Struthio camelus: one gene and its partner. The protein of the gene in region 2 purifies or fractionates together with the protein of the main gene of each other region. This does not show direct contact. Links are inferred from orthologs where the notes say so. Each region holds a gene or a part of one and is shown on either strand. Other genes may lie near its edges.

Region 1 (12,034 bases), on a different chromosome or scaffold from region 2:
GCTTTTGATGACCGAGTTTGCAGCTCACCTCCCCGCTCCCCCTTTTGGAGAAGTCGTCAAAGCCCACTTAATTACTGAAATTACCCAGAGGCACCCATCTATCCAGTCCCAGCCATGGGAGATAATTGTAGTGAAAGCAACAGAACATTAAACCAACTGTTTGGTGGTCCCTGCCAAAAGCCCCACAGCTCCCATCAGACACCTCCTGCCTACCTAGAGGCTGACCTAGAGGCTGACCTAGAGGCTGGCCTTTGCTGTTACACAAAGCAGGGCAGTTGGAGGGCAGTAACACAAAAAGGTGAGGCGAGGTGAGCTCCAGAGCTTCAAATGGCAGGGAGGTCTCCAGCTACGCGCAAATGCAAATTTTTCAGGAAGAGAAAATATCGGGCTTAATCATGTTTTGCTTCACCAACAAAAGAAGCTGTTGAAATAGTTTTGTCAGACACAGCTGATAAGGATAATTATGTGGTGAGAGCTTAGTCATCCGTATCACAGTGACAGAAAGACAGATTCTCTAAACAACAACAAAAACTCCAGAAAGCCAAAACCCAAAGAACAGCTAAGTATAGAGCTTTCCAGATTTCAAAACAAATTAGAGAAGCACTCAGTCCACCAGGATAGATGCTCATCCAAGTCTACAAGTAGGTCCTGTAATTAACCACTAGAGGGAGCCCATTTTTCTCCATAAATGAAATGTTCATAATTGTTTTATGTGCACGTTTTGCATTCAGAAAATAAGAGAACAATCACAATGTGTAAAATATGCATATTTATATGAATACAGATTTTAATTTAAGCTGATATGGAGAGATACAGTTCAAGCAAGGCCTACTCTAGCATTTGCACCAATATACTTGCCAGACGGAGAAGAGGCACCAGTCAACGTGCTTGGTTTCATTAAAAATGGCCCTCTAAACCAAGCAGGCTACAAAGGACACTCCAATTTGCCCTTAAATTCATCAGCATAAACAGGTTGATATTGCATTCAGGAGTTCACCATCTAGCTGCCCTTGAGAAATCACATCTGCATTTCGTAGTTACAAACCAAATACAACAACAACCTCCAAGAGTGCTGGAGCAACGGAGGCTCCCCTTTAACTCAAGCAGTAAAGATCTGTCCCAGGGAGATAAGGAGCCCCAGATTCTTCTTTTTAAGACCACCGATGCAGTTTTGCCCATCTTTGTATTTACGCCTTGTACACTGCAACTGCTGGAACTTAAAACGCCCTCCAAAATTGGGTTTCATTACCCTGTCTGGACTCCGAGAGCCTCACCAAGTCCAGCTCTCTACCAAGGCGAAATTGCCAGGCCTGCTCTTTCCCCGGCTAGCTCTTCTCCAACGACTATTTAATACACGCCCTTGACAACGTTTCCCTTACAAAGCAGGGTTAGGTAGCCCAAAAGGACTGGGAGATGAAAACAAACGGTTCTGATTCCTTTCAGCTAAGCAGCCAGCAAAGCACGTGCTTGACACAGGCAACCAGATGAGCAGTGACACTGCCCGGCAAAGTCCGGCTGCCTTTACTCTGCGCCCTGCTCTGCTTCTCCTGCGTTACGCCCATCTCCCATGTCAAGCCAGAGAGGAAGCCAGTCAAGGAAGGTTACACCTTGGAGATAAACAAGCAGAAGCCTAGCCTAGACGGCAAGCAAGTTCCAAGCCTAGCCATGGCAAGCAGAACTCACAAGCCTCCTCCAGCAAGCGAGGAAACCATCTCTGCTCAAGCCGCTGGGAGGGGTCACCCATCGGATGTCAGTCATCCCAAGCCACGCCGTCCGGCCAGTGGACAAACCTGGACGTGTCCCCGTGAAGCACAATGTTTTCTGCAGGAGCTTCACTCTTTTTTCCCCCTCCACAAGGGATCCCATATTTTGTATGGGATCACAGAAAGGGGAAGAGGGTCATCCAACCAGAAGCTGCAGCACTCCCTAACACACAGGAACCCTTTGCTCAACTCGGTACGTCTTAAGGAAGCCAAGGCCATCATTTTCCCATACCCAAAGGGTAGGGAGTATCTCCGTCAGCATTTGAAACTTTCCTCTTGGCAGACCTTCACCTATGAAGCCAAGTGTGCACGTGCTTGTCGGGATTACTAACGTGAGCAGATGCTGCTTTCGTGTTTGGGAATTTTCCCATTGACTTCAACGGGACGAGATATAACACCTTGCGTTTTCCCTAACCCCATTTAATAACAGCTACTCACACATCTAGAGTGCTCCAACGTGTTATAGGCACCGTACAAACATCAGCAAGAAAACCAGGAACCCCTTTCTTGGTGTTTCTTGAGCAATCTGACGGGCTGAGAGTTTATCCCTGCATCAGATCCCTATCTCCTTGCCAGCTAATAACAGGAACCGCGCGACTGCTGATCTAACCCAGCTGAGCAGTCAGAAGCAGCCGCCACCTTCTGCTGAGCTGTGGAGACTTTATATTAGTCATAATCCTCTTAAATCGTAACAAAGAACACAGATCAGAAGGTGCAGTGTGTGCTGTAAACGTGCGAAACCCAACACACACAGCCGTTTCGGGGTGCATCAGAGCCCATGCTACTAGAGCGGAGGACATGTTTTTTTGAAGGGGGGGGAAGAGGTCCAGACGCCAGGCCCATGAGCTGGCTGCTCCCTCCTGGCAGCACCCAGAGCCACCGTGGGAGCACAACAGCACTCTTGGAGCATAGCCCCAGGACTCAAAGGACGTCCGTCACCAGCAATGGGAAGACCAAGATCCTCACGGAGAGGACGAACGTGAAGGGGTGCTGCCTCCAGAGGGCTCAAAATAAGACACAAAAGCTGGAGGCACTTGGGGCGGCTCGCACCTCCACCGGCCGCAGGGGGATGACCAGCTTCAGGAGACCCCAGCACAGGTCCAGCCCTGAACCAGCATCCTCAGCGTTTTTTTTAAACTTAATCAAAAATTGTTGTTGGTGGATACGTAGACGTTTATAGGCGCCAATCCCATCTAATCTGACAAGACTCCCATCACACAGGTTACAGCTCCCACAGTCAGCACGCTTAACTAAATCCGCTGAAACTAGCTTTTAAGCGATGGCTGAACATCTCAAAAGCACGCTGAAAATTACAATACTGTGCAATATTGTACTTGTGAGGGGGGAATTCTGCAGGAAGGTCTTGAGAGCCTCCCTTTGGGGGACACGGAAACTAGCATTGACTTCTGCTCTAACCTGCACAACAGCTAGCAAGTACACCTGACAACACCACCCTTTACTGTCAGCCTCAGAAATTTTCCATAATAAAGCGTATCGATCAACATGCAGTTTTCCCCGTATGGGATAAGTGCTACAGCAATAGAAAAGGGCATTCCCAAATACTTATCAGTTAGAAGTTTCACGTGATAATTACCAACAAAAATCTAAGTCTGTTAGCTGTTTCAAATACCAAGTGTGTAATATTTCCAGCAGCACATTTTTCAAATGTGGAAACTTCTCCCTCAAGCATTTTCCATGTGGTATTCCTCACGTTTTTATAACACGTATCCAGGCAGTTTCCCCCCTGCTTACAGTGTGAAAGATGCCCAGCTTGATACTATAGTTTTCACTACCCCTAGCTTAAGGCCGCCAACATACACACTAGTAGCACTTCGGAAACAAGACTTGCGGCTCCTCAAAACCTTGACGTTCGCAGTTACCTCTTATTGCATCTGAGCAATCTGCAGGCAAAAGATGTTTTACTCGCAGATAACCTGCAACAGCTACCCCATACTTGTAGTATGCAGTTCACGCGATCCTACACAACTGCTCCTGTAGTACTACTGCTCCACGCAATACCTGATCCACCGCCATTAATACCCATAAACATGTAGTCTTCTCAGTACTTTCTAGCTGAAACACATGACTGCTGATGTATTCACATTTGTAATAATTAGAGGCAAATTTATAAAAAGCCACCTTCTTGCTTAACCGAATCATTATTCTATTAGTAGTGATGTTCTGATGATTTCAAAATTCTCTACTGTTCAACTTCAAGGACTGCTCATTTGATTTTGGAAATTCACTCTTGGTTGCAACTTGACAAAGAAAGTATTAATTTGTTCACATTTATAAGACGTTTATTCGGTTCAGTCTTTTCCATTCATGGGTCAGACGACGAATTGCTTTCCCTGGAAAACTACCCTGTGAGATATTCAGCATAAGGCATTCTGTAGCTCAGATGCGAGCTACGAACCGCAATTTTTCCTGGGATGTCCCTGTAGGTTGGCTTTGGCACGTACGCCTGCATGTTTCATGCTTTGTCTGGAGGAGGAAGCTCCCACAAGCGAGGCAAAAGCTCTCAGATATGGGTCACAAGTCGGTGTATCAAAACTTAGACAAGAATAAAGAAGAAGATAAAAAATAGCATATTTTCCCCAGGCTTGTAGGAAAGAAAAAAAAAAAAACAACCCTGTGAACTAGACCTTGATATTCTTTTGATATTCCAGAGGTTTTGGACAAAGGAAGTCTACTACTGTTTGTCAGAAAATAGAGCGCGCTCTCCCTCCGTGGGCGAAGGCGAGAGGACGCGTGGTGGCACGGGCTGCCCAGGTTCCTTCCACACATTACACACCTGACCCAGGCTCGTTTCCCCCCCCCCCCGCTTCATTCCTAACTGCCAAAAACACCGTGCCAGGGTTTGCCTCCCATGCAAAGAGAAGAGTGAGAAGAGAGGAGAAACCCCAAACCCCAAACCCATGCCTCCTCCACCACTGCTCGCCTTGCAGCGCCTGCCAGCCCCGAGGCTGCCCGCGCCGCTCCACTCGCCCCCGTCCCCCGAGCAGGAGCCTCGGAGCAGGACGGCGGCGCCCGGCGCAGACAATGCCCCGAGCCCCGGCGGCGCCGAGCGCTGCCCGCCCCGGCCCCGGCCCCGGCCCCCGCCACTCACCGGAGATCTCGGCCTGGGGCACGCCGCTGAGCCCGAAGCCCTTGGCCCCATACAGCTGCCGCACCTCGGCGCAGCTCCTCGCCTTGCCGCCGCTGTCCGCGCGGGCCGGGGGCGAGGCGACACACAGCAGCCACAGTCCCCACGGGAGGAAACGCATCCTTCTGCGCTGCCCGCCACCTGCCGCGCGAAGGGCAACGCCAAGGTCCCGCGGCGGCGGGGGCCGCTGCCCGGGCAGCGCGGCGGCAGCGGCAGGGACGGGGCGGGCAGGCGAGTGCCGCCGCGCTCTCGGCCCGCGGAAGCGCTTTTGTTCCTAGCGCGGCTGCATGCCCCGGGCAGCCCCGCCGCGACGCTGCCGGCTGCCGAGCCGCCGGGCCGGGGCGGGCGGGGCGGGGCGGGGCGGGGCGGGGCGTGCGCGGCGGCGGCGGCGGCGGCGGCGGCTCGGCACCACCTGCGCGCCGGGCGGGCGGGGGCGCGGGGGCGCGGGGCGAGGCAGGGCTTCCCCCGCCGGACGTGGCATCACGGCGCCCGCGCCAATCCCGCGCGGGGCGCAGCCCCCGCCCCGCCCCGCCCCGCCGCCGCTTGCTGGGTTGTTTGACGGTGATTCGGCGGGAAGCAGCGGAGCTCCTGGGGACCTCGGTGAGCGTCCGCCCCGCCCCGCCCCGCCCCGCGGAGACGCGTGCGGGCCGAGAGGGGCGGCCCTGGCCGAGTCGTCCCCCTGCGGGCACGGCGCGTCCCCGCGAGCATCGCCCGCGTGGCGGGTCACCTCCGGAGGGCTCCCACGAGCGAGCCCACCAGCTCGTGGCCAGGAACGAGGACGCTTGCCGACGGATGGAGGGCCCACGCTCGCCCCGGCCGAGGCTCCTGGGTGAGCTTGCACCCTGCTAGACATCAGAGAAGCCCCACAGAAAGCCCCACCCCAGGTACAGCAGGGTCCCCGAAACAGCAAATTCTATGGGAGACTGCATCTTTCGGGCAAGTCACTCAGACGTGCGCAAATCCGTAGGAAAGCCGGGTCGCTCGTCTTGCTGCTTCAGGGACTGCTTGCTCTCCTGAGGAACGAGGAAGGAGAAAGAAGTGACAGCAAAATAACAGCCCCGGGGAGGGCAAGGATGGCAGGAGAGAAGAGGAAAGATGTTCCTTTCCTGTGAAATTGCCTAATGATTTCCTATGAACTTTTCCTAATTAAGTCACCCATGAGACGCAACCTAAGAGATGAAGAGGACCTGACTGCAAAGAGGGAAAATTCTCTAACAGAGATCACAGGAGCTCAAATGACATGTCACTGTAGCTAAAACTGTAAAAAGTCTGAGTCATATGAGCCTGTGCTATCTCCCAAATCATCTTCTACAGATCACACGGGGCTTCGAGGCTCTGGATGTCCATGCCCAAGCCTTGCCCAGCCTCAGCACGCACACGATACAGGTTTGCTAGCTCCCCCCAGCTTCTACACAGCAGTCTGCAAGTCCCTCCGAAACTTTACTGAGAATAGTGAGTTGACACTGAGCGAGACGTTGTTGGGCCGTGGAGTTAAGAGGGTCCTGTTATGAGGGCCCTACCTAAAAACAAATCCACGGTCTAGTGCAGGGCACCGATGGCGTGTGCCAGTGCCAGTGCCAGGGCAGCTGGCCATTTGGACCACAGTGACATCTGGGCTGATCAGAGGTGTATCAGTGATGCACAGGTTAGGAACCCCACGGAGGCGACTGACAGCCCAGTCGCCCACTTCATTAGCACCAAGGCTTTCAGTTCCCCCCAACTCGCTGTGCCTGAGCTTGAAGCTTCCTCGGGGGGGTTTCCAGAGCATGGAAAAAAGGTCTTGTTTCTGGAAACACGTGGGAAAATCTGCCACAGATGGACGTAAAGTCTGACCCACCCTCTCTTTTCTAAGTGCATGAGTACCGCGCATATTAACAGGTTTCTAAGTTCATTACGAGGAACAAGTTTATTTCAGCCCTTATTCCTGGTTATTTATTGTAATTTTATGGTCAGAGCTCTTTCCCTACCCCAGGCTTTGAATACAGCCCTTACAGAGCTACGTCACAGCTCTCATCTACTCAACCCACTACAGTAACAGCGGAAAACCAGCAGAAAATTGGCGGAATCCATGCAAGGATACATACTGCTAGGAGTACAGAAACACCAGGATCGTGGTTTCTCCTCCTGGTTCCAGAGGGAAAGTCAAACAGTTACAGCACAGAGCTAATACCGCTCTTGCTCGGGTCTGGTGAGGGGAATGAACTCCACGAATGCAAACTGCCGAGCCGGAGCACTTAAAAGAGCAGAAAGGCAGAGTCACAAACCTCTTATTTGCTCTGGAAGATGACACAGGAGCCCAAGCAGTACCTAATTTTCCCTTTTCCTCCTGCGCGCCCAAGGTAGGATCCTTGCCTCTGCGGTGCACCCAGGGCTCGCCCCCGGCTCTGCCTGATAGCACCTTGTGGGAGTGCGGCGTGGCTGTGCCCAAGCTCGCAGCACAACAAAGCCCTCCGCGACCGCACAGCTGGCGAGTGCCCGGACATGTTGGCAGCTGACACGGGAAGAACTGGGACTGAAACCCTCGGCTTTTGGCCTTGCGAACCATCCCCTGAGCTATAGATCATTTTACGGACAAAAGTATCTTCTTTGTTCATACACATCTCGCTCCCCCGAGCTGGGGGACAACACTGCCTGTAGCACAGACACTAAAGTCAGGTCATTCCTGATAAAATCCAGAGAGCCGGCAGCACACGCTCTGCTCGTTCAGAGTCACCCTGTTGTGTCCATGGGGAAGCACTGGGGTACGAATCACCAGTGCAGACTGCACCGCTGGTTGCCAAACCCGTCTCAAGAAGCAGAGCTGCAGGTACCACGAATTTCCTTGATTAAGTGACCTTCAGCACATGACTTTCCTGCTGAATGGGGATAACAGTGTTTCTTACCCAACCCCATGCCTGTGAGGTGTTTGCATACTATCATAATGACAAACTTATTAGATATAGCATATTATATATAATGAGAAGACAGCTTAAAAATAATCGATATGAGCTGTGTGACACAGCAGCTATCTGTGCGTCTCTATAGGATACAATCGTAAGCAAGCAAATCTTCAGCCTGTCCTGAGGCATGACTGCGTGTGCTGCTGTCGCTGGCAAGGCGTGTGTGCATACCCAGGATTTGGGCTGGGTACATTTTAAGCAAACTGAAATCAACACCTTCCAAGCGTCATGATGAAAATGTGTTTTTATGTGCATTATAAACCGCATTTCTTTCGTGTGCGTTTGAAGATCAGATCCACTTTCTGAACACGCTCAATTTAAAGAACGGAGCTTGGCAAAAAGCGAACGCAAGCTTGTCCGGCACCTCACAGAAAGAGCTAGAATTGGGGCAGAAAAGAAAGAACAAAGTAAAGCACAAGCTGAGTAGACAAAATGCAGAGGAGAAAAGCACACAGCCAGCCAGGAGGGTAGTCAGAGGCAGACAGAAAATCCATCCTGCTGGGGCGATCACCTCTTGTCAGCCCCCGACAAAAAGTGCTGCCTGCTGAAAAGCTGATCCAAGCATTACAAAGAGGTAAGAATGATGAAGAGGAGCCAAATCACCTGGCACAAGCCGGGAAAGTTACCCTTTCAAAAATAAATGAGCGGAGGCTTTGTAGTGTCTCGACTTCCACAGGTTCTCGTCCGTCTTCTCTTTCTCCAGCACTTCCGAAAGTTTCACAGCGCCATGGACATGCTCTTTTCAAACTAATGCAGATCAAGCGCTGCAGGGGCAGCAAAGCAATCGCATCCCCCAGAGCTCCAGCTGGCTCCATGACGGACCTGCGCTGAGCTACAACCACCGAGTGTCTGACCACAAAAGCAGAGCAGCAAAACCCCAAATACCCTGTTGAATCGGTAGGCAGACCCCGTCTACTTTTTTCATTGTGTATCAAATACAGAGCTGACAGGAAGTGGGGAGGGCGAAAGGAAAGGAACCGGGAAAAGCTTACGCGGCCTATAGCTTCCTCTCTCTCCCTTGCGGGTGTTGCACGATGAAACCCTCAGCCCCTCTCCCTGAGTCGGTTTTATGCCACATTTGACTCTGCAGAAGCCTCAGAAAATCTGGCACCTCGAGATTAAAAGCCTTCATCAAAGCAGGAGCAGATCAGTACCTCTTCTGCCTGTTTCTTTTCATCCTTGCTCTATCCGGCTCCTGCAGGAGTTCAGGCAAGCTCTCCCCCTGCTCCTCCCACCCCCAGGCTGGCTGCTGTTCAGCACAAGCTGGACACGCGCTTTGCTGAATCAAATCTAATTAGGTTATCCAGAGGATTTACTAGATTACACCTTGCTATCTGCAGCTGCTGACTTCTTCACTGGATCGTCCTCACTGGGACCCATGCAGCTCCTCCTCCCCTCCTGCACACAAACCCCTCCGAAGCTTTTCGGACACGCGCAGGAAGAGCGTACGTGATTGCTCTGGTCACAGAAAAATATGAAATCTATCCTTTTAAATTGCTGGGTCACCTACGTACAACTGACAAATCCAGCTTGATCTCAGCTGACTACGTGAGAAGCCATTTGCTCTACCGAAGCGCTAAGACTTGCTGGGATTTGTGTATCTGTGCTAATTAATGAGGACTATGGTTCCACAGATGTACAGAGCTGGGGACCCTTCCCAGCACCGGAGCTCCCAGCAAGCCAGAAGTCAGACCTCGGCGCAAGAAAATTCGTAATTCTGGCCACGGCGGAAGAGGAAAAGAGGACGGGGGCTGCAGCAGGGTACACCAACGCTCAGCCTAGCTGCTGCTGGACCCTCGATTCGAGCAGACCAGCTCCCTTTAAATGCAATGCTTAATTCCAGCGTGTGTGGTTAGTACTCTGTAGGGTGAGATTATCAACCACCAAATAATTTCAGGCAGAGAATCTGGCTAATTGCCCCTCTGTGCTCTGCTTCGGGTTGAACGACCCACTTTTCCAGCAGTGACTTAAAGGAATGCATGGCTGTAATGACCTCTTACCAACGACTCCACCCTGTAGGACCGTGCTTGTGTCATACGTGCCTCAGAGATTTCCCAGTAGAAAGCAGTCTTAAAGGCCAAAAAATAAATATATGCCAAAAACTCATTAGAGAAACTGCTGCTAATTGGGTCTGCCCCAGGAAATATATTTCATCCTTTTTGGACATGACTTTCAATAAAGCTTTCCTGACTCCCAGCTCCCCAACAAGTTTGTAACAGTGAATGAAGAATACAGACACAGTATTGAATCTGTTTTATAAAAGCAGGGCTTAGCTTGATATATGAAATGGCTCAGAACTGGCTCTAAAATTACTAGGTTAGAAATGTGTGTTTTCAGCATGCCACTACAGTGATACACAGATTTCTCCCCCTGCTTGCAAAAACCACAGTTGGGACCACTTCCTCTTATCGTTCAGAGGGTTATGTCCAGAGCTTGGCTGTTTTTGAAAGGGTTTTATGAAGTAGAAATCTCCCCTCAGTCTGTCATTGGTCGCTGGGCACTGGCTTAAGAAAAGCGCCCGCAGGAGCAAACTCCGCGCCTACGAGTGCAGCAGCACCTAAGCACTGGTCCAAGGCATATGGACCTGGGTCAGGCATCCTGTGCACTTCAGTGCGGAAAAAAAAAGCTACAGCCACAAAGAAAGAGATGTGTGGTGCAGCAATCCAGCCGTTCTGCAATGCTAACAGAGCGTCCTCGAGCCGACGCGTTATCCTCAGCTGATGCTACATTAAACACTACATAAAGCGCTTTAATGAATTAACAGAATTATCTTACGTCCTGCTCAAGTGTTTACTTTTTCCCTCACATCCAGTTACATATAACATAGGCTGTTTTCACAGAGAAATTGGCTATGAGGAAACACCCATTCTGTGGTGCTGAAAAGCACCGAACGCCTTTAGTTGCAAGGAGAGGCTCTCGCGCTCCCGGGCTTTGCACAACGGACTTTGGCGATGCTGCGAAGGGGTGTCAGCCAGCAGCACGGGCAAGCTGGGGTTAAACCCCAGTGAGCGGGAAGGACAGCTAACAGCAAATGTTCGACAGCGTTTCACACAGAAACGATAAAAACTGAATTTGAGTTTGGAAACGCATCCTTCCCATGCCTTTTTCTCTGAGTTGTTAATAAGATAATTACCAGGTGACACAGATTTTTTGATGTGTGCCAGCTTTACTTCTGATGCAATGCTGCACACAAGTAAAGTGACATCTGGAATGGATCTGGTCCAGCGTGTTTTTCATTTTAAGATCTATGCATTTTGCAACACAAATACAGTGTACGCATCCACTATGGCTACATGAATTTTAGGGTGCTTGAAGGCCAAGCCTTCAGAAGATAGTCCGATGTCAGTGAAGATACACTGATTTATCCCGGTCGAGGATTTGGCGCCTTTACAATCCAACATCTGCTTGCGATCTTAGTATCGCTCTGTGTACAGTTTCTTTTGTCAGGACCACATAAACATCCAGTACTGGATTTTCCGAGATGCCAGATGACACACACCCATGTTCTGAAGATTAAAAATAGAGCTCTTAATCTGATTTCATTTCTTCAACCTGCTAGAAACCAGAGAGCATGAATACAAGGAGATGTACGGAGCCTGGGTGTAAGAAACGACAGAAATCACCAGCACACTTAATTCTGTCTTACTTTTTTTTTTTTTTTTCTTACAGTGTTACTTTTGAGTATAGCCTTGAGAATAAGTTGTTCGCAGTATCCATGTAATTTTATATCGCATACATAATTGTGCCTCAGGCAGGACCGTTATTCCGTGGCTAAAGGGGCAAAGCTGAGATCCTTTGCCTCTATTGTGGTCGATGCCAGGGACGTTGCTTTTTAAAGCACTTTAAATAGAAGTCGGTGGACGGGGGATCCTGCATCTCACTTTCAAATCTTCCTTGCTGCCTTACAAAAGCTAAGCAGTTAGGTGCAATGACTCACTCATGCTGACATTTTTGGGAGAGAACGATGCCTTTTATAACAACATCGATATTCCCCCATTGAGGTCTCAACGCTGGCTAATTTAGAAAAGAAACATGTAGTGCAAGGTTGAAAGGTCACAGGCCAGCCGAAGAGCTCATGAGATCATGGGACCATGAAAGAAGCTCCGACTTTAAAATAAAATAGCCTTTTTTCTTTCTTTTTTTTTTTTTAAGGAACAGACAAACTTTTCTGAAAGGCCAGGAATTTA
Region 2 (12,042 bases):
TTGTTTGGACAGAGTGTTCACCTGAAGGTAGCCAATACACATTGTAAATAGAGAGCCCACGAGACAGTGGAGTTAAACCTCTGATTAAGTGCTGGACTCAATCATCATATCATCGGAAAACTCTCACAGAAGAAAGACTGAGGAAAAAGCCAAAGCCAATGGTAAGTCTAAATGGATTTTCCAATCTGTCTGAAGGCAGTGGAAGCAGTAGCTCTATAGCCTTTTAAAATTTGCATTCTGGCACAATTCTAATGTTTCTGGGCACACAAATTGAGCCCAGCTTGGCTATAAAGTTCATTTCACCCTGTATCACAACACAGCCAGAAAGAAAACCCCAAGATGAAACCTTGCAGCAGGTTATCAAGTAATCTGCTCTTAAGAAGTTTCTTCTTCAGCCTCACCAATACATGTTTTAAGAGCTTCTAAGCTGTTTTGTTCAACAGAATGGACCCTCTCCTCAGCCACTTTGAATCGAGAACTTAATGTTCAGTGACACCTTGTGCTGGTGAGAGAGACAAGTCAATTTGGTACAAATAAAATATTTCCAGGGGGCACTTCCCAGTATGTTCTTTTATTATATGCCCCGATTCTCATTCTCAAATTTCCACTTTCAAATCTGACTGGCAGCAGGTTAGGAAAGTTCTTAGTCTTCAGTTACCAATTTTCAATGCCTTCTCTGTACTACCTGTATTCCTGCTCTTTCCTCTGATATGCCTATTAATCACAGTCAACAAAACCGCACCTTTGAATCTGGTGTGCTGAAACGTACAACAGCGACATCTCCTTTGATATCACAGCTAACGTGGGTTCTAGCTGGAAACAAACGGAAACACTTTATTAGCTTATGTTTAGTGGATTTTAGGAAAGAAAAATCAACTCACATACAAAAGCTTTACGCTTACCCTGAAGAACAGTGGAGGTGGAGATACCACGGCAAGCATAACCTAAGGAAGAGATGTTGCAGATGTTACAGGCATTCTCGGTAAGCTTTTAAGGTGATCTCAGCTCAGATCTTAATATACTCTCCCATCTTCCCTTATCTGCCGAGGCCGGTGTTTCAGAAAATCCTGAATACCGGCCAGTTCCTTCTGCTATGGCTCGACCTGTGCCACCACCAGAATTCAGTGGACTCCATGCTACTGAAGTGACATTGGCAGGACAGATCCCACACGGGACTTTCCAATAACAGGAATGCCAAACTGAGGGCAAAAATCAAAACCTTTTTACTAAAGAGCTGACAACAGATTAAGCAGGGGACCTACGGAGGGGTTTTGACATTAGGCGTGCACGGTTCAACACTTCTTCACATGCTAAATTAGAGAGACCTTACCACCCTTTGGACACTTTCAAGCCTGCGTATAAAGTTCTCCCCAGACTAAATAGAAATGTCCTAGAATATCTCTGCAAAAATGCACTACTATGCCTGTAAATGTTGGCATTCCAAGTGTTATTGCACAGATCACAGGAAACATAGCTGTTAAGCCACAAAGAAACAGCACACAATGTTTATTCTCTCCTCCACAATCTATCAAGGCAATGGTTGATCCATCTCTACAAATTACATACGCAAGTACCTAGACAAACTTGTCTTGTTTTGAAACTTGCTCTGAAAAAACAGCACGAGGGATGACCAAAATCTGTATAACAGTGAAATGCTACTTTACTCGCACAAATATCCCAGATTCCCCTTTCCTGCCAAGAATTTGTATTCTGCCTGATGATCTCTCACTACGCAAGCGAGTCTCAGTTCTGTTCAAACGACCTTGATCTTGACTGAGAGGATCACCCAACGCAGATCTAGGCTGAATCTCTGCCAAAGCTGTTTGAATTCTCAAAGTCTAAAAGTGTTACTTCTTAAGCAACGTACTGTACACCTACCAATTGGAACACAGCCATTTACTACGCAGCACTGGTAAAACGCTCGGGGCTGAAACAATCCCTGTCCCAGCAGCAAGAAGGCAGAAAACCCAGGAGAACGAAAACAACCTTAAAACCTTGGCCTGCACCTCGCAAACAGACACGCTTCCCTCCCCACAGCCCCGGGCCACGGGCTCGGGGCTAGAGCTCCTTTGCACTTTGACCCTCTTTCCACTTTGTCACAGGTGCTGGCACTGGGGAATGACCTTTGCGCTCCATTCCCCAAGCCCAGGACACCTGGCAGGATGCCACGGGCTGGGGATGGAAACTGTGTGTCAGTCCGTCTCAACAGACTTCTCTTTGATGGGAGCAGGGGGTCACGTACTTGCGATACCATTTTATAAACAAAGCGTGAACTGGTTTCCACTCCAAAGCGGCTTTAAAATATTTATGGGCCTGAACAAGGCCCAGACTGCAATTACTCAGGTCAACATTAATTTCCTTAGACTTTCTGTGCACTAAAGTCGGGTACTCCTGGAACGAAGCACCAGCTCTCATTTTCCACAAAACAGAGCATTGTCTGCCAACAGTTTCTCCACTGACGTACGCACCTCAGCAGAATCCGATGCACTTCATTGGGTTAAAATACCACAATTAGCAAGCCACCCACAGAATCACAGAATGGTGGAGGCTGGAAGGGACCTTCAGAGATCATCCAGTCCAACCCCCTGCTCAAGCAGGGTCACCTAGAGCAGGCTGCCCATCCAACTCCACTACATTAGCCAGGTGAGCACTGAACAATCCTACTGAACGTCTTCACTTTAATCCCTGTATTACTCCATAGTGACAGGCATGGCAGGAACGAGAATCAGATCAAACAAACATCCCAGCTGCAGATCAAGTGATAATGCTTTCCTCCCACACCCTCAGTCAGGCACCTCCTAAAGGTGGGGTGGGGGAAGGAAAATTTTCCAAGAAAATTTTAAACCTTGAATTCCACTTTACCTTTCAGTTTTAAAACAACAGATACAGAGCAGGAAAAAAAAATCATCAAGGGCAAGACAGAACAAACCTCACCGCGTTTCAATATAAGCTCTTTTGGGAAACGTACTGCTGTTAGAGTAACAGTTGCTTATTATTTGAGTGAGGTTTTTTTTTTTTAATTATAACTTTCTGTGTGTTTTTCTTGACAATATTTTATTTTAGGGTCCAGTATACTCTTGGAAAACAATTTCTACGTCTAAAATTAAAAGCACATTTATGCAGTCACAGTACAACTGCTTTAGGTTTTGATTTCATTCAGAAGGAGCTGTGATAACTTGCCAAGATTGAAGCCAGAAAAAACCTCTTCCAAATTCTGTAGGAATAACAGCAGGCCAGATGTACATTTCTGCCATTTTATTAATGTTCATTCTAGAACTAAAAGCCCTGAATATATATTCAATTTTCACTATTTCACATTCTTTGCTCTTTGGACAAATGAAAGACTGTCTGTACAAAGGAACACCAAACACTTCAGAAAATTGTTCTCAGGATTTAGCAGAGAGCTTCAGAAGCAAGCAGGGAATGGAAAAGCCCCCTTTCAAACAATCTGGCTGGGACCTGTTTCGTCCCACTTTCTCTTTCCTCTGTCACTTCCTTGGCTGCTTCCTTGTCCTGCACTTCCCCTTCCTGCCTTTCCATTCCCCCCGAAGCAGCACATCACTTGAAGGGGGAACATCGTCCATAGATGGTTCACGAGGAAAGGCTTCTTGTAGTCCTGGACTGGGCAAGCGCCAGCAGAACAGAAGAGCTGAAGCTCACGAAGACGGCTGTACCTGCGAGCTGATCGCACTGAGCACTGAACTGCGAGCCGCAAGACGGGAAACTTCCAACAAACTGAGCTATTTACTACCACCTCTGGGAACCTGTCAGCATATGGTATGATATATACATAATATACATATACATACGGAAGAGCAGGTAAGGCTAGCTCTTAAGCTTGCACGGCCTTCTGCCTACTTACTGCCTTTTGCAGTTCTTTTTTGGGCTGCCCGTGATAGATTCGCATCCGTTTTGGCAAATACGTTGTTACGGAAGAACAACACGTAGAAAGACTGCTATTAATTATGTCGCATGACGTGACATTAGCCACAGATAGATAGACAGATAGTCCTGACAGCGTTCCCGGAACAAAGTATTTGTAATGAAGAATATTGCCAGTTATAATGAGAAGCCCACAAGAGGCTGTTTAAGCAATCTCTGGAATTACTACCGATCTGCTCGTTATCAGTTGCAGTGCTCTGCTCTTCTAGCGATGAAGTCACATATAAACTTGCTCCAATCCTGCATGTAAAACAGGCATTAGGCTTAAATGAAACACTGCCTGACTTCAGCTCTACATTGACACCAGACCCTAAGGCCCTTCAAAGCAGAGAAATAAGAGCTTGTTTCTAATAAGTCTTAACCTTAGGCCCTCCCCAGGGGCACCTTGCAACTCCTTTCTTTGGTACCTCCGGGACAAAGCACCAAGACTCAGCCGCCAGCAGCCATCGCGCCCAAGCAGGAGGGGGCTCGGGCTCAGTCAGCAGATGGCAACGGAGCAGCGGTCGATGACCGGGACGCTTCTAAACGTGACCTAGACGCGGCCCAAAGACAGCTGGCGAGGCCCCTGCAGACACAGGCACGCATGGGGACGGTGCGTTCCCTCCGCCACGCAGGGACACGGGGGCCCCCTCCCCTCAGGGCCACGCGCACAGACCCCCAAGGACAGAGCTGTCCCCCGGGGGGGCACGCACGCACGGGCGGGGGCAGAACACCCCTTGCCGTGGGCACGCGTGGGAAACCGCTCCTGGGGGACAGCCGCAGGACACCCGCGCGCAAGGGCATGGGGACGCCCCCCCCCCCACCCCGCCACGCACGGATACTGGGGACACGCGCAGCGTGCCAGGACGCGAGCGCACACCCCCTCCCCGTAGGGTCAGCTCGCAGGGCTGCAGGGACCCTCTAGCCTAAAACGTGCCCGCGGGCGAGGACATGGGGACGCCGCCCCAGGGAGGCGCGTGGGAGCACGTCCCGCGTGGGGACACCAACACGTGCAGGCACACCGCTGTCCCCCAGGACGCCCGCGCACCTGGGGGATGGCGGGGGGACACCTGGACGCCCTCCCCCCCGGGCAGGTACCGGCTGTTGGGACACCAGCCGCCCCAGGGACACAGGCATACGGGGGCTGTCCCCTCCCTAGAGCCCCCCAGAAACACGAACACCCGTGGATGCCTCCTAAGAAGACCCCCCCCTTCCTCAGCGACACCTCCCAGTGACACCTAATCCCTCACAGTGACACATACATACATGAGCTCAGTAACCCCTGTCCCTCACCCCCCCCACCCCGGGGACACGCACGCGCGTGGGCACCCCCCCGGGGACACACACACGCGAGGCCCCACTTCCCGGTGCCCCCCCCCGTGCGTGGCCCCACCGCCAGGTGCTTTCCGTGCCCCCACAGCGCCCCTCAGTGACACGCACACGCGTGGGCACCGCCCCGGGAGGCCGCGCCTCCTCCTCCTCCCAACCGCCCGCTCGCTCGCTCCCGGCCCGGCGGCGGGGCCCCACGCTGCCGTCGCCGCAGCTCACCCGGGGGCCGCTGGCGGCGGGGCGGGCAGTGCTTGGCGGCGGCCATGAAGCGCCCCAGGCTGCCGATAGCGCGCACCGCGGCCGCCATCTTTGCTGCGCGCGAGGTCGAGTGAGGGAGAAGCGTCGCGGGCGCCGCCGGGGGCCTTCGGCGCTCCCTGTCCCTCCCTCCCTCCCGGCCCCGCCCCGCCCGCGCCTGCCCGCGCCGCCAACCGCTCCCCCTCCGCCGCCAACCGCTCCCGCCCTCCTCGCTCCACTCTTCTCCCCGCGGCGCCTCGACCGTCCCTCACCTCCTCCGAACGGGAGCGGGCGGGCGGAGCGGCGGGAAGGCGGACAGCCGGGCTGTCAGGGCTGCCGTGTCGGTCAGGCGCGCGTCGGGGCAGCCCGCGCGGGGCGGGGGGAGCGGGGTCCTTCCAGAGTGGCAGCGCGGTGGCGGCGGTGGTGGCAGGAGGGCGCAGGCGGCGGCGGCGGGGCCGGGTCGGGCCGGAGGTGCGCGGGCGACGGCGGCGACGGACCTCATGGGGCGGGGGGGGGACGCGGGACGGAAGTGGGGTTTGCGGGTGTGAGGCGTCCAGAGGTGTGTGAGAGACAGCGGCGTGTAGGTCGGTGTGGGGGTGTGTGTGGGGGGGGGAGTGTGTGTGGGGAGGTGTGTGTGTACGGGAGTGTGTGGGGGGGGTGTAGGGATGTGGGGTGTGTGGGGAGGGGAGTGTGTGGGGGGGGTGGGGGGGAGTGTGTGTAGGGGGGTGTGGGGGGGTGTAGGGATGTGGGGTGTGTGTGGAGGGGAGTGTGTGGGGGGGTGTGGGGAGGTGTGTGCGGAGGGGGGTGTGGGGGGGTGTAGGGATGTGGGGTGTGTGTGGAGGAGAGTGTGTGGGGGGTGTGTGTGGGGTGTGTGGGGGGTGTGGGGAGGTGTGTGTGTAGGGGGGTGTGGGGGGTGTAGGGATGTGGGGAGTGTGTGGAGGGGAGTGTGTGGGGGGGTGTGGGGAGGTGTGTGCGGAGGGGGGTGTGGGGGGGTGTAGGGATGTGGGGTGTGTGTGGAGGGGAGTGTGTGGGGGGGGTGTGGGGAGGTGTGTGCGGAGGGGGGTGTGGGGGGGTGTAGGGATGTGGGGTGTGTGTGGAGGGGAGTGTGTGGGGGGGGTGTGGGGAGGTGTGTGCGGAGGGGGGTGTGGGGGGGTGTAGGGATGTGGGGTGTGTGTGGAGGGGAGTGTGTGGGGGGGGTGTGGGGAGGTGTGTGCGGAGGGGGGTGTGGGGGGGTGTAGGGATGTGGGGTGTGTGTGGAGGAGAGTGTGTGGGGGGTGTGTGTGGGGTGTGTGGGGGGGAGTGTGTGGGGGGGGTGTGGGGAGGTGTGTGTGTAGGGGGGTGTAGGGATGAGGGGAGTGTGTGTGGGGGGGTGTGGGGGGGAGTGTGTGGGGGGTGTGTGGGGGGTGTAGGGGGTCTGTGTGGAGGGGAGTGTGTGTGGGGGGTGTGGGGATGTGGGGGGGAGTGTGGGGGGTGTGGGGATGTGGGGGGGTGTGTAGGGGTGTGGGGGGTGTAGGTGTGGGGGGAGTGTGTGTGGGATATGGGGGGTGCGTGTAGGGGTGGGTGTGTAGGGGGGTGTGGGGGTGTGTGGGGTGTGTGCGTAGGGGGTGTGGGGATGCGTGTAGGGGTGTGGGCAGGTATGGGGAGTATGAGGGTGTGTGTGGGGGGGTGTGAGGGGGTGTGTGTGGGTGTGTGGACATGCATGTGCGCCCGTGGTGTTTGTGAAGGGGTGTTTGTCACGCGCCAGGGCTGTGGGGTGTGAGTCGTGGGTGTGTAGTGCGGGGGGGGGGGGGCGGTGTTAAGCGTTAAAAGCGTGGCAGGATGAGGCGCGTCTTATCCGGAGGCAGCTGAAGAGCAGGAGCAGCAGGGGCCGGTTTGGCCCTCCGCAGGAAGAAGCGCGGCTGGGGGTTTGTCCGCAGGGAAGCCTTGCGGTCCCGCTGCGGAACGAGCACGGAGAAAGCCGCTGGGGGAAGCTTTTGGGGTGGCGGTGGCCAGCTCGTTCTGCTTCCCGTGGGGATACGCCACGAAAGTCACTGAGCTCAGAGTCAGCAGTTGAAATTCAGGGCAGCGGCACGAGGTTGCGCCAAGGAGCGCGCGTTAGGAGAGTCATGCTGGCGGGGAGATTGGCTGGGCTCTGGGACAATTTTCCAGCGGGGAAGTGGTGGAACGGGTATTGCGAGGGGAATCTAAAACTGTGCTGGCTGCTGCGCTGCTGATAGTGATAGTACAGTGCTGGGTCATCAGCGAGATGACTGCTTATTTACAGCAATGTTTGCAAGCCGCAGTCATAAGTCAGACTTCTCACGTGCTAGATGCTGTTCAGAAAGTACAACAGAATGTAATTCCCTGTGCTGCTGCACTTGACTGCCCTTGATGTGTCTTCTCTTCCTCTGCTTTTTTGGCTCTGTGTGAATCAAGCAGTATGCTTACCTTGAAATTGTTCTGAATAAGCCAGATTGGACTAATAGCAGTCTTTCTTCACCTCTCTAGACCTCAAGATGACTTCCATGCTGACCCATATCATCAGAAACCTCCCTGCTTCCTCAGCATGGGCTGCCAGGGTCTGTAAGTATCTTTATGTTCATTAGAGACTTGAACTGGTAGGTCATAAAGTTCTCTTTGTTTTAAGCATTACGTTTGGCAGGGACACTTTTGTCTGAATCTCTGTTACGTTATGGTTTTTTTTTTTTTTTAAACAACTAATTCTGTTGTTGACGTATTTGTTGTTTCCCAGATCTCCCAATATGGGAGGAATCTCATGTTAACTGGTAATATGTACTATGTTGTTTTTATGAACACAGTAACTTAAAAAAAAAACCTTGCAGATATTCAGGTGCACTTGTATTGGAACTTCTTTTTTTTTAACGTTTCTTACAAAAATAAATAGAAATGTTTTTATAATTATAATTTGATAAATGCTCCTTTTGTGGTTCTTGTTTTTCAGCTGCAAGATCACTCAGCTGCTCTTCACAGTTACAGGCAGCAGGTAAAGTGAAAGCTTCAGTGGGTTTCTATTAGAGACTATTTTTGAAGCTGCCTCCCTTTTCCAGATACTCATTCTACATAGATCTCAGAAACACAAGGCAGACTTCGTTAATTCTAGAGGGCCCTTCTAAAGTTGCAAAAAAGTAAAGCTACAGGCAAAACAGTGTTTCCAATAAAGAGTCCTCTAAACATCTGAATCTCCCTCACCCCCAACAACTGTGCCTGGTCTGAAGCTCGTGCCACATTGTCACCTGATAGATTGCTATTTCTAGGATCCTAGACAGAGAGGCTAAGCTAGGAGGTTATAAGCTGTCTGGTTATAACCAAGTCTCTTGCCCGGGAGGGGTGGAGGTTGCCCCTGACTAAGAGAGGCTTGTGGAATTAGCTCAAAGGTCCAGTAAGACCTATGAGAGGCTCAGGTCTCAGTAGAGCGGCTTAGTGTGCACAATTACATTGATTGTTAGATGTGTGTGTTTTTAAGCCGTTTGGGTAGTGTGGGGTTCTGGGATGTGTTCTGGGGTCACTCAGGTGACTGTGATGCTTTGAGCTGCCTGGATTGCAAAAAGACAGCAGCCCCCGCTTGTCTCCTTAGCTTCATCTGGAGAACCCTCTTATATGACTCAAGTTTAGTGCTGGAGTTTCATACTTGTGCTTTCACTTGCTTGAGCACAGTATTTAGCTGGATTTAATCTGCTTTTACATGCCTTTTCCTTTTCTGGCTTGTAAATGCAGCTGCCTCATGCTGCTGTGTCTGCTGGTTAAGAATTGTAAACCTGACTGCATTAGGAAATTCTCATTGAGCTCCTTGTTAATCATCTCTCTAGAACAGCACTGACAGTGGTGTATTAAATGATGCTGTATCATGGCGTTGCTTTGTCTCAAACCTGAGATACTCCCAGGCATTATGAGGGAGTAGCAAGCTACCCACAACAGCTTTGTGCCCTCTTTTTGCTAGTACTTTCCTATGGAAGTGAAAGTTAGTTGACTTCTTGCACTGTGTTTTTATTTACTCTGAATTATCTCACCTTTGCTGTGCAATAGGAGCACATAAGTGAGCAATTGCTATGGAAGGTGGATTGTTTCCAGTCCTTGTTGCTTCCCGAGTGAAAGACTTTGAGGTCTTACCCTGGTTGCTCGTCTTTGAATTTGGTCCGCCTCATTTATATCCTAAGTCATTCAGCATTCTTGGAGGTGTCTTTTCCTGCGATATTTTTGTCAGTAGTAATGGAGTTTGAGGATTATGTTCCTTTATTCTGAGCTGTGCCATTGCCTCGATATAGCTATGGATGAATCTCTCTGCTGATGAGGGAAGCTGAAATTCTGTGTTGTTAAACCATTTTTCACAAACGGCATGCTCAACCAGACAGGGACAAGATTTTGCCTCGCATCTCCTACCTACTCTACTTTTGTCTTATGCACCAAAGGGGACTCTTTCCTGAGTTTTCTAGTAGCTCTAACAGGATCTGGCTTTAAGCTTGCTCATATTCTTGGCAATAATTACTTAAACTTCTCTCTAAGCAGTCCAGCCGAAGAGTAAGAAGACATTAGCCAAAAGTGGCGTGAAGAATATTGTTGTGGTAGAGGGTGTCCGTATTCCATTTTTGCAGTCTGGCACCTCGTAAGTATAAAATAATAAGAAAATACTTTGACTGGGTTAATAGTAGAATCTTTTGGTGGAAAATGTGGAATATGGTTTGCTATGTTGATTTCAATATAGTTACTTTTGTACATAAAAATACTAAGATGGCAAAGTTAGGCTGCTGACAGTTTTTCCAGCTTATATTATGAAAAAACGTGGCTTGAAGAAGATTGGCCATGAATATGAATTCAAAGGAGAATGCAGATTTGTGCTGCACATCTGGAGGAGCCCATTGATGCCCCTGTAGCAGATAAAGCAAAGCGTTTCACAAAACTAGCAGGACAGGGGCGGAGAATCTGCTGCAGACTCTTCTTATTAGACTATTATACCACCAAAATCACAGCTAAATTAGGACCAGAAGGAATATCTTTATTCTATTACTGTTGCTTTTCAGTGCTTTAGTATAGTGAACGTATGCTGACTTACACCTAGATAGTCTTTGTAACCGCAGCTATGAAATGTTTGCTTATGAATGCACTGTCCCTGTGATTCAGAGCATTTCTGGTGTCTTCACCAGTTCTGTGCTGCTGGTGTGCACTTACAGTGAAGAAGACGCCTGCGTTGGTTTCTGACACTAAGTTTCTGCCTCTCTCCTTGAACTTCCAGGTATGCGGATCTTATGCCACATGACTTAGCCAGAGCAGCATTGCAGTAAGTAAATGGACTGTCAGAAGAGCCCAAAAAATTGTCTTCTGCTGGACTCCAGGGTGCTGGTACAGTGACTTCAGCTAAGCTGAGAGCCAAGGTTCTAGTTTTGTTGCTAAACAATACGATCCAAGTGATTCATTTTTCGTGGTCTGCCACTGCCTTAGTAGGGGGTTCAATCAGTAGAGCGTACAATAGACTCGTGCAAAAGAGTATTGTTAAAAGGAGATTGCATTGTTGTGTTGTTTGACTTAATTTCACTTGATTTGGATTCTGACTGTGTATGGTTTTCTAATACAGAGGTCATAGCTACTATCTCAGTGTGCCTAAAGTTCAAGACAGAGACATCTAAGTGACATGGTGATTCAAAGACAACTAAGTGAGACGGAGAGTAACAAGCTAATTCTGTTGTCTTGCACGTTGCTTCCATCCTGCTGTGATTTGACAAGAGCTGTAGGTCACTAGCCGTGTTTTTTTAATTAAGAAACAGGGCAAAAACAGGACATGCTGTCGAGAAGAGTACTGTTGACAAGGCATGACTTGGGGGGCATGGAGATTTCAAGTCACAAGGAAGGATTGTGAGGTGTGGGGTTGGGTGCAGTCGTGCCAAATCTGAATGTCATCTTTGGGGAGCCAGAGGAAGGCCAATTAGGTTGACATGCAGTGTGTCAAGTGTGTGAGGGCTGTGCCACAGAGATTGAAGGCTGAGGTGGTTTTAGTGCACTGCTGGAGAGGAGGTCTTTATTGAGATGTTTTTACTTTTGTTTGGTGTTTTTGTAATGCATGAAACTACATTTGAATCGCACTAGCCTTAATGAATACCCCCAATGGGATTTGCTGTCTTAGCGTATTTGCCAAGATGTTTTGGCAAATGGTGTGATATGTTTTCTAATGAACTGTGAAAACTTAACTGCTCATTTTCTGTGTGTCTTTATGAGACTAATACATGTTCCTACACCGAAGGTAATCGGCTTTGTTATCCCTAAGCCCTTATTCCTTTAATTTTGATATCAGAATGCTCTGAGTTAGGGAAGGTATTAACAGCCGCTTCTCTGAGGAAAGAAGAGTAACTGCTTTCATGAAACTATCTGTGTAGTCATTTATATAGTGATATTATTGCTATGATTATTTGCAGTCTATAGTCATTTGCATCTTTCATCAAGTATATGTGCGTGAAAGATTTCTTCTGAATTAGGGATACAACACGTAGCTCTGTTGTTGCCTTGGTTCTCTGGCCCAGCTGGTAGAAGATGGATGTTTGAAAACCGTGGTGAGGTTATTGCTTACCTGGT

What was found.
Region 1: the proteins of HADHA (region 2) and GPC1 purify together in Homo sapiens (co-immunoprecipitation; 3 studies listed by BioGRID and IntAct, with this or other methods). This does not show direct contact. The link is inferred for Struthio camelus from reciprocal best matches to the Homo sapiens genes HADHA and GPC1.

What each region holds. Positions count from the first base shown.
Region 1 is NC_090950.1:8,216,550-8,228,583, forward strand, and holds the start of GPC1 (glypican-1), read right to left. Parts: upstream 5,266-12,034; 5' UTR 5,030-5,265; coding exon 4,873-5,029; intron 1-4,872. UniProt on the Homo sapiens protein: Cell surface proteoglycan that bears heparan sulfate. Binds, via the heparan sulfate side chains, alpha-4 (V) collagen and participates in Schwann cell myelination.
Region 2 is NC_090944.1:1,812,980-1,825,021, forward strand, and holds the start of HADHA (trifunctional enzyme subunit alpha, mitochondrial), read right to left. Parts: upstream 5,626-12,042; 5' UTR 5,558-5,625; coding exon 5,470-5,557; intron 945-5,469; coding exon 903-944; intron 814-902; coding exon 743-813; intron 22-742; coding exon 1-21. Other genes in the region: HADHB (trifunctional enzyme subunit beta, mitochondrial), read left to right, coding at 7,980-8,046, 8,426-8,467, 9,985-10,084, 10,712-10,756. UniProt on the Homo sapiens protein: Mitochondrial trifunctional enzyme catalyzes the last three of the four reactions of the mitochondrial beta-oxidation pathway.